2 linked regions of the Diceros bicornis minor genome follow. The protein of the gene in region 2 interacts with the protein of the main gene of each other region in a biochemical or structural test. Links are inferred from orthologs where the notes say so. Each region holds a gene or a part of one and is shown on either strand. Other genes may lie near its edges.

Region 1 (3,902 bases), on a different chromosome or scaffold from region 2:
GTCTATGCAGCTGGCCAGCAGCTGCACACTGCTCCTCTCAGGGGCCCTGCTGGTTAGCCTGGGCTGCAGGGAGTAGGCGGTCAGTGAGACCAGGCCCTGCTCTGTCTCCTGCATCACCAGCCCTGTCCTCGCCACCGAGGTCCCCAGGCCACAAGCCAGCAACTGCTGGAACTCAGGGTCCATGTCTTCGACGGTCCCGCTGCTGCCTGGAGCTGGCAGCCTCAGCAGCTTGAGCCGGAGCTGGCCCGCTGGGTCCTCCTGCACCAACAGCCCCTGCTGGTCCACGTCCGGCCGGCGCAGCACTTGGCGGACAATCCTGGGAAGCTCGCCAGACACCAGCTCCTCCTTCTGTATATGGGGGCCTCCCTGCCCTGGGCCTGGGAGCACATACTTGGCAAGGCAGAGCTCCCCCTGCCCTCGGGCCTCCATGAGGATTCCTCCGTGGTGCAGAATGCCAGGCGTGGCATGCAGAGTCCGCAGGGTCCCCTCAGCTGCAGTCTTCTGCCTCTCCAGCACCCTGTTGGCTGAGGGGCCTGCAGGCTGCTCTTCTTGGAGGTTGTCCCCTCGGATGCTCTCAGCTGCCAGGGAGCCCATGGGGCAATTCTCAAAGAGCCAGGTGAACTTGTGCACAGAGCCAGCAGGGATGGGCTCAGGGATTACTCTGGATCCCTCATCTTCCCTCTTGCCTGCCTCCAGGGCCTGGAAAACCTCCTTCTGACGAGACACCTGCCCTGAAGGGATCTCCACTCGGCTGCAGTATCGTACAGGCCCTCTTCCGCAAGGACGGCCTGAGGCCTGCAGAGGCTCAGTCTCAAAGACATGTCTGTCTGTCTGTCTTTCCCCAGCCTGGACCTGGCTAACCTGCAGGTGCTGCTCCCAGGAACCTTCTGGCCTGTCCAGGGGTTGGGGCACAAACATCCAGGTGCAGGACCTTTCCTTGGCCTTAGTTGTGGGATGTGTGACCTCTGACCCTTGCTTCTCCGCCAGCTCACTCATTGGGCATGTCTCAAACAACCACCGGATGGTCTGCACGTCACCCTTTAGGGGTGCCTCAGGCTGGGGACCTGTCTGACTCTTTCCTTCTTCTACCTGTCGTTCCTGCTGCTCCCGTTGGTGGATCACCTCTAGGGGCTGGGTCTCAAAGAGCCACCGAGCAGTGCGCACGTCTCCAGCCACTACCTCCTGCCGGGTGATGCCCCGAACCACATCGACAGTACTGGGGTTTCGGCCCAGTTGGTCTAAGGGCTGTGTCTCAAACATCCACCTGTAGCCCTGCACGTCACCTCCGACTACCTGTTCTCTGCTGACAGAGGTCAGGGCATGGAGGAGGCCTTTACCATCCTGCATGGCGTACACTGGGGACCCTATGTCCTGAGACTGCCCAGCAGAATCAGTTCCTTCTGCTCCATTCACACTCCTGTGGGCCAAAGGCTCACCCTGCCCGATGCTGTCCAGGGGAAGGGTCTCAAAAAGGTTCTTGAAGGTCTTCACATCCCCCTTCACCCCATCCCTCTGGGGGGCACTCTGAGAAAGGGACTGTGGGGAGGAGCCATCACTGGATGGACGCTCATACACGAGCCCCTCACCCTCCCGGGGACCCACCCGCTGCAGGTGACCCACTTGGACGTTGTCTCTGAGAGTGTCCAGGGGCTTTGTCTCAAATAGCCACAGGGTGGAGCGGACATCACCAGGGACCACTTCCTCTTTGGGTGGGACCTCTGTTACAGCCTCCTCTTCTCCCTTTAGAGTGTCTAGTGCTTGGGTCTCAAATAGATGCCGCTGATGCTGAACATCTGGACCAGGAGGGATAAGGTCTGGGGACGGCTGGAAGTCCTTCTCATCCACCAAGATCTCCCGGATGGCATCCAGGGGCTGTGTCTCAAAGATCCAGCGAGTTGCACTGACATCAGGCCGGGCCCCTTCCTCCAGGGAGATCCCCCGGATCACCCGCACTTGGCTGGGGTCCCGGTTGATGGCATCCAGAGGTTGGGTCTCAAAGAGCCAGCGAGCGGTCCTCACTGCATTGCTTTGGATCTCCTCCCGGCAGGCAGCCTTGACCTCATGGATGGCTCCCTCTGCGTCCTGGATAGCACACAGCGGCTCCGTTTGGAACAGCTTCACTGTCTTCTTCACATCACCTTTCAGCTCCTGGATCTCTGAGCGCAGCTCCAAGGGGCTCTGCTCCTGGATGGAGGGGCGGGAGCCCAGGCGGTCCAGCGGCCGTGTTTCAAAGAGCATCCTGGTACCCTGGACATCTCCGCTGGCTGCAGGCTCCTTCACTGTAGCCTCAGGTGCCTCAGCCTGGCCCGTCAGCTCATCCAGCGGCTTCGTCTCAAATAGCCAGCGGGCGGCACGAACATCCCCTCTGGATGGCTGAGGTCCAGCTGGCTCCTGGTCTATGCCGTTGGCAAAGGAGCCTTCCTCAAACTTTCGAGAGGTGGCCTGGACGTCGCCGCCAGGCACGGGCTCCTTGGCAGGTGGCTTCTCACGGTCCCCAATGGCGTCCAGCCGCCAGTTCTCAAAGATCCAGCGCATGCACTGGACGTCACCCTCGGTGGGCTCCTCAGAACTCAGGACCTCAGCCAGGTCTTCAGCCACGGCCTCGGCCAGGTTCTTGCGGAGCTCAGGATGGATGTGCTTGTAAAGGCGGCGGAGCTCATTAGCTTGCCGCTGCTGGTGGAACTTGGAGAAGGACTCCTTGGGTGGTGGTGGTGGCAGATCCTCCAGGGCTGGGGGTTGGGGGAGAGGGAGGTCCTCTGCAGTTGCCATGGGGACGGCTGATGTGGGGGCTGCCTGTGTCTGGGCTTTGGCCATCCTCCTGAGGAGAAGGGGCAGAGATTAGGATGGGGCTGGGAGCCTTAGGTGGGATGGGGGCTAGTTGCTGGGAGAAATAGCAGGGAGCAGGGCCCAGGGCCAGAGTAGCCCTGTGGTGACATGTACTTAGAGACCCCCTCCCTCTCCAGACCTCACCACGGTCTCCTTCTGCCACCTGCATGGTTGGTGTATGACAAGTCTTGAACTTAGGGCATAGGGAGCCGTCCATCAAGGTGGGTCCCGGCTTCCCCAGAGTCACCTGTGTTGCTAGGGAGTAAGCAGGGCACTGCTGTTGCCCTTGAAGCTCTGTCCTTCAGCCCCACAGGGATGCCCAAACCTCTGGCTGGCAAAGTGGACATGCTCCATCCTCACCTTCCTTTGCCAAAATCAGTTTTCCCTGGTGAACTCCCAAGTGAGTGGCCTGGGGTCCCTAAATTGGTGACCCCTTCCCATGGAGAAGAAATACCCTTTCATAGCACCAGAGGGCGCACTTGCCACTTTCACGGGAAGTCCTGCCCAACCTTCACCTCTTGGCTCTCAACTCACTCTCCAACCTTTCCCAGGCCCAGGCAGGCAAGCAGGAGCCAGCAGCCCATGCGGTAGCAGAGGTGGTCACAGCTCTGCGAGGGGCAGTTGTTCCCAGATATCTCATGGTTAGGCAGAGCCAGATTCTGAATCCCAGGTTAGGGGTTTTCTGTGCCATAAGGCAAGACTCAGAAGGTCTGAGCTGGGGGATTTCAAAGGTCTTCGAGCCCAACCACTCCTAGTTACAGATGAGAAAACTGAAGACCAGAAAGAGTCAGATCTTGGTGAATGAATGGCAGGCAATGCTGGCTCGGGGTTACTACACCCTATGTGGGGCCTGGCTCCCAAGAAATGAGAGGGTGGGGGTATGAAGCTCTACTACTGGCTACGTGCCCCTCTGTTCCCCAGCAGGCACCTCAGGAGAGTGTGAGGGCGACACTGACAGGGAGGGAAGGCAGTGGGACCGAGGGCCTTTCTGCAGAGATAGCCCTGACCCTTGCTCGTGGAGACTCGTCCCCACCGTGTGCAGCTGGCCGAGTCTCCTGCGCGTCTCTTCTTTCTCC
Region 2 (3,902 bases):
GCCGGGACAGCTGCTGCCCCCTCCCGCCCCTCCTTTGGCTGTTGGCTCAAGGAGAAGGAATAGCAACTGGGGAACAGCTGCGGGACAGAGCTGCCTCACAGGCCTCTTTGTTCCGAGGGGCTGAGGGGGTGGTGGGGGCCGAGACAGGGGTAACAGGGTAAGAAGGGCACGCAGCTCCTCAGCCCAGACTGAGTACCCCCTCCTTCAGGTGGATGTCTCAGCCCCCAGCTTCCACTCCACTCCTAGAAATGGAAGTGGGGAGTCTTTTTGACCCCCCACTCCCAAGTGCCCAGACGCTCAATTTCAGTCCAGAGACAACACCCAGAGAGGGTATTGGGCAGCCCCTTCCTGGGCAGCCCCTTCCCACCTCTAAGTGGGACAGAGGGAATAGAGTAAGCAGGATGCTGCTCCTGGCGGGGAACCCCTTTCCGTCTCCTCAGCATTGGGCAGCCCCTGCCGCCTGTGTCCCCTCCCCTCCAGCCTCAGCCTCAGGCCTAGCAGCTGAATTGCTGACAGCTTATCTCATCAGTGCGAGTGAGCCACTTGGCCCAAATGGGGAATGGCTCCCCTTCCTCTCAGCAGGAACCGAGGAGCTTCCCTCCCACCCCCAAACCAGCTTTTGCTTCTTTCCCCTCTACTCTGAGCCGGCCCCTCCACAGTTGAGCCAAGGGGCCGGAGCCAGGCACCACCATGGGGGAGGGGAGAGGTGCGCTCAGGAAGGATGAGGCCTGGAGAGCGGCCCAGCGCCCCCACAGCGGGGAGGGGAGGGGAAGCCTGAGTAGTTTCCTATAAACTCTTGGTGAGGCCCCAGCTCTCCCCTCGGTGACCCCACCTGGGACAGTCAGTCCTGTCTGTCAAATCCCAATGTGCAGGGGAATGACCGCCCCAGGGCAGACTGTGTCTGACCACCCGCCCCCCCAACGCACGCGCACACACACACTCTGGGAGCCCTCAGCCCCAGCACACACACCAGGGCCCCCTCCCCCACCCCCTGTCCTCAGGCTTGTCCTTCTGGAAAGCTCAGAGACATCTGCTGTGTCACGGAGGCAGGGCTATTTCCAGGCCCCAGCGAGCGGGTGGGGTGGGGGGGCAGTATTGGGGCAGGAGGGGGTAAAGCCTAGAGAGGGGACTGGACAGGGCAAAGGGCCCCGGCCTGACTTCAGCTGCTAATTCAGGAGGCCTAGCGATGCCCTGAGGGAGAGTGGGGGTGGACATTCAATTATCTGGGGAAGTTTCTGGGGCAGCCTGGTGGAGGAGGCACCTGACCCCAGGTGAAACTTCCCTCCTGTGGCCCTAGGGTGCAGCGCCCAAGGGCCTTTCCTGTAAATCACAGCAGGACTCTTAAGAGCTCAGCACAGGGGTAGGGGGTCTTCCCCTCGCCCCCAGCCTGCAGGGACGACCACAGGACAGTGGGGAGAGGGGCAGCCTCTCGCCACTCAGAGCTCATTTGCTCCTCAGCTCCCTAGCCTAGAGTACCTCCCCCACCCCCACCCAACACTGACACACCTTCCAAATCTGGTTACACTCAATGACTTCCTCCCTTCTACAGGCTTCCCCTCCCTCCCCTCAGCCCAGACCGTTAGCTGCAGCCAATCCCGGCTTAGGGGGTGGGCTGGGGCTAGACACCGACGTCCAGGAGCCCCCTCCCGGACAGGCCGAACCGCGCGAAGGCTAGGCAGGGGTTAAGGCTCCCTGCGCTCGCTCAGTGCCTTTTTAGGTTTCTGAGGCTGGGCCCTGCCTGCCCCGGCCCCCGCGCCTGAACCCAGCTGCTGAGCACATGCCTGCCCCGCCACCAGCTCTCCCTCTGCCTCAGAGCCCTTGGATCAGGCCGTGGTTGGGACCTGCCTTCAGCCCGCTCCTCCCCTGTGGAGGTGCTGGGAGGCTGGGAAGCCATTTGCTTTGTTTGGGGGGAGACGCCCCCAGGAATCAGTAATGGGCACTGGCCCTGTCCTCTCAAGCATGGGCTGGGGTTGCCCGATGGCAGGAAAGGGGACAATGAGTAGAAGCGGGTTGGTGGGAGTGGGTGGAGGGAGCTTGAAGCTGGAGGACTCGGGAAGAGTAAGGTCTGGTCCTCGGGCCCCCTCCGGGATGCCGGCTGTCCTGCGCGGGCTGTGAAGGCACTGCCCGCGTGGCCTGCGTCGGAGGGCGGGAGAGCCGGGGCCGGGGTCCTCTCCCTGCGCCGGGGGCCGCTCTCTGCCCTCTCTCTCAGCTCCCCGCGCGCACCCAGCACCGTGTCCCCTGCCCCCACGGGCCAACCCATCCTCGGTGCACTCTCGCCCTCCCCGCCCACACTGACCGATGGACACGAGCTTGATGTGCTCGCGCTCGAGGAACTCGAGGGCCACGGACACGTTCTCCAGCTTCATCTGGCGGAAGTTGGGGCGCGGGTGGAACTTGCGGTACATGCGCTTCTGGCTGAGCACCTCGAGCAGCGCGATGAGGCGCAGCCCGTCGCTGAGGTCGCGCTGCAGGTCGGTCAGGCGCTTGCCCACGCACTTGAGGTGCTCGTTGCACCAGCGCGTGAACGTGTTCTGCTGGATCTTCTTCCACGGCGCGTCCTCCGCCAGGTCCTTCTCCGTGGACGGCATGTCGTCCGCCTCGTCGCCCAGGCCGAGGCCGGCGGGCTCCGAGTAGCCGCTGTTGTTCATCATGCTGGCGCGGGCTGGGGCGAGGGCTGCGGGCCGGCTCGGCTGGGCTGGGCTCGGGTTGGGGCGCTGTCAGGGGGCGCTGTCGGGGCGCGACGGCGGGACTCGCAGCTCCGCGCTGCGCTGCTCTCACTTCTCTCGCGCCCTGGCTGGCGGGTCACGGCGGGCCTCCTCGGCTTCTCGGCCGCCTCTCTCTCTCTCTCCCTCCGGGGGCGGAGCGGTGCTCGGGAAGTGCGGGCCGGGCCGGGGCGGGGGGTTTAAGAAGCCCCCGAGCCGCGCTCCCCCCGCTGTGCCCGCGGCCCCCGGGTCCACGTCAGAGCGCCGGCCTCCCAGGAATGCCGCCCGGCCCGCGGGTGGGGGCCGCGCCGCGCCGGCCGCCCCGCCTCCTCCGCCCCTCCCCCACGCGGCCGAGCGGCGGGACAGGGGGTCCCACCCCGGCCCGGGTCTGCGGCCCAGGGGAGCTCGGTCCCCGGTCCTGGTCCCCAAGGCCGCCCCGCTGGAGAGGTCAATAGTGGAGCTGGAAGGTGGGGGGTGAGGGCACCCAACACCCCAAAACTAAGCATTGCCAGTCGCAGATGAAATATGCCCTCTCCACACCCCGCGGGGCTAAAGAGATAAATAAGGAAACTGAGGCCAGTGGTTAGGGCAAAATACATTGATCTGGTGTTGACAAAATTTTCTGTCTGAGTTGGTGGCAGGGCCATTGACAGGGTCTAGGAGTCCGGGCTCCTAGCCCCGGGGTATTGTCCACCTGCGGACAGGGAAGGGAAGTGTGTGTGCTTGTGTAGAGACAGACTGAGAGGAAGTAGGGACACTGCCCAGGTCAATTAGGGAGAAGGCTTGGGGGGCTGCTCTGCTTTACAGGTAGCAAAGTCTCATTTGAGGCCCAAACCCAGGGTTCCAGGAGAAAGACTAGGCTGCCCCTGACTCAGTGTGCCTGTCACCAGCCGGTTTGGCCTCATCCCTTCAGAATGAAGCTGAGCTCAGTAAAAGAGTACCCAGTGAGTCACACTGTGGGCCCCCCCCCATCAAGTCTGACTCAACCAAGGTGATGTGAGAGGAGAGAGAGACTCTGTCCGGTAGTACTAGGGAGCCCCCTGGGCAATGTGCCCATTTGGGCCACAGGGTAGATCCTTCCAGAAAAAGAACGGGTTAGCCAGACACAAACAGGGAGAGCCCTGCCCAGAGCAGCCAGGGGGAAACGTGCCGGGGGGCCGGTGGGCAGGGAGAGCCCAAGGGAGCCAGCCAGGAACCTAG

Evidence for each region.
Region 1: the proteins of FLNC (region 2) and XIRP1 form a complex in vitro, tested with the Homo sapiens proteins (2 studies listed by BioGRID and IntAct, with this or other methods). The link is inferred for Diceros bicornis minor from reciprocal best matches to the Homo sapiens genes FLNC and XIRP1.

Annotation. Positions count from the first base shown.
Region 1 is NC_080741.1:41,944,666-41,948,567, forward strand, and holds the start of XIRP1 (xin actin-binding repeat-containing protein 1), read right to left. Parts: upstream 2,815-3,902; coding exon 1-2,814. UniProt on the Homo sapiens protein: Protects actin filaments from depolymerization. Required for correct cardiac intercalated disk ultrastructure via maintenance of cell-cell adhesion stability, and as a result maintains cardiac organ morphology, conductance and heart beat rhythm.
Region 2 is NC_080742.1:77,584,862-77,588,763, reverse strand, and holds the start of FLNC (filamin-C), read right to left. Parts: upstream 2,888-3,902; 5' UTR 2,652-2,887; coding exon 2,297-2,651; intron 1-2,296.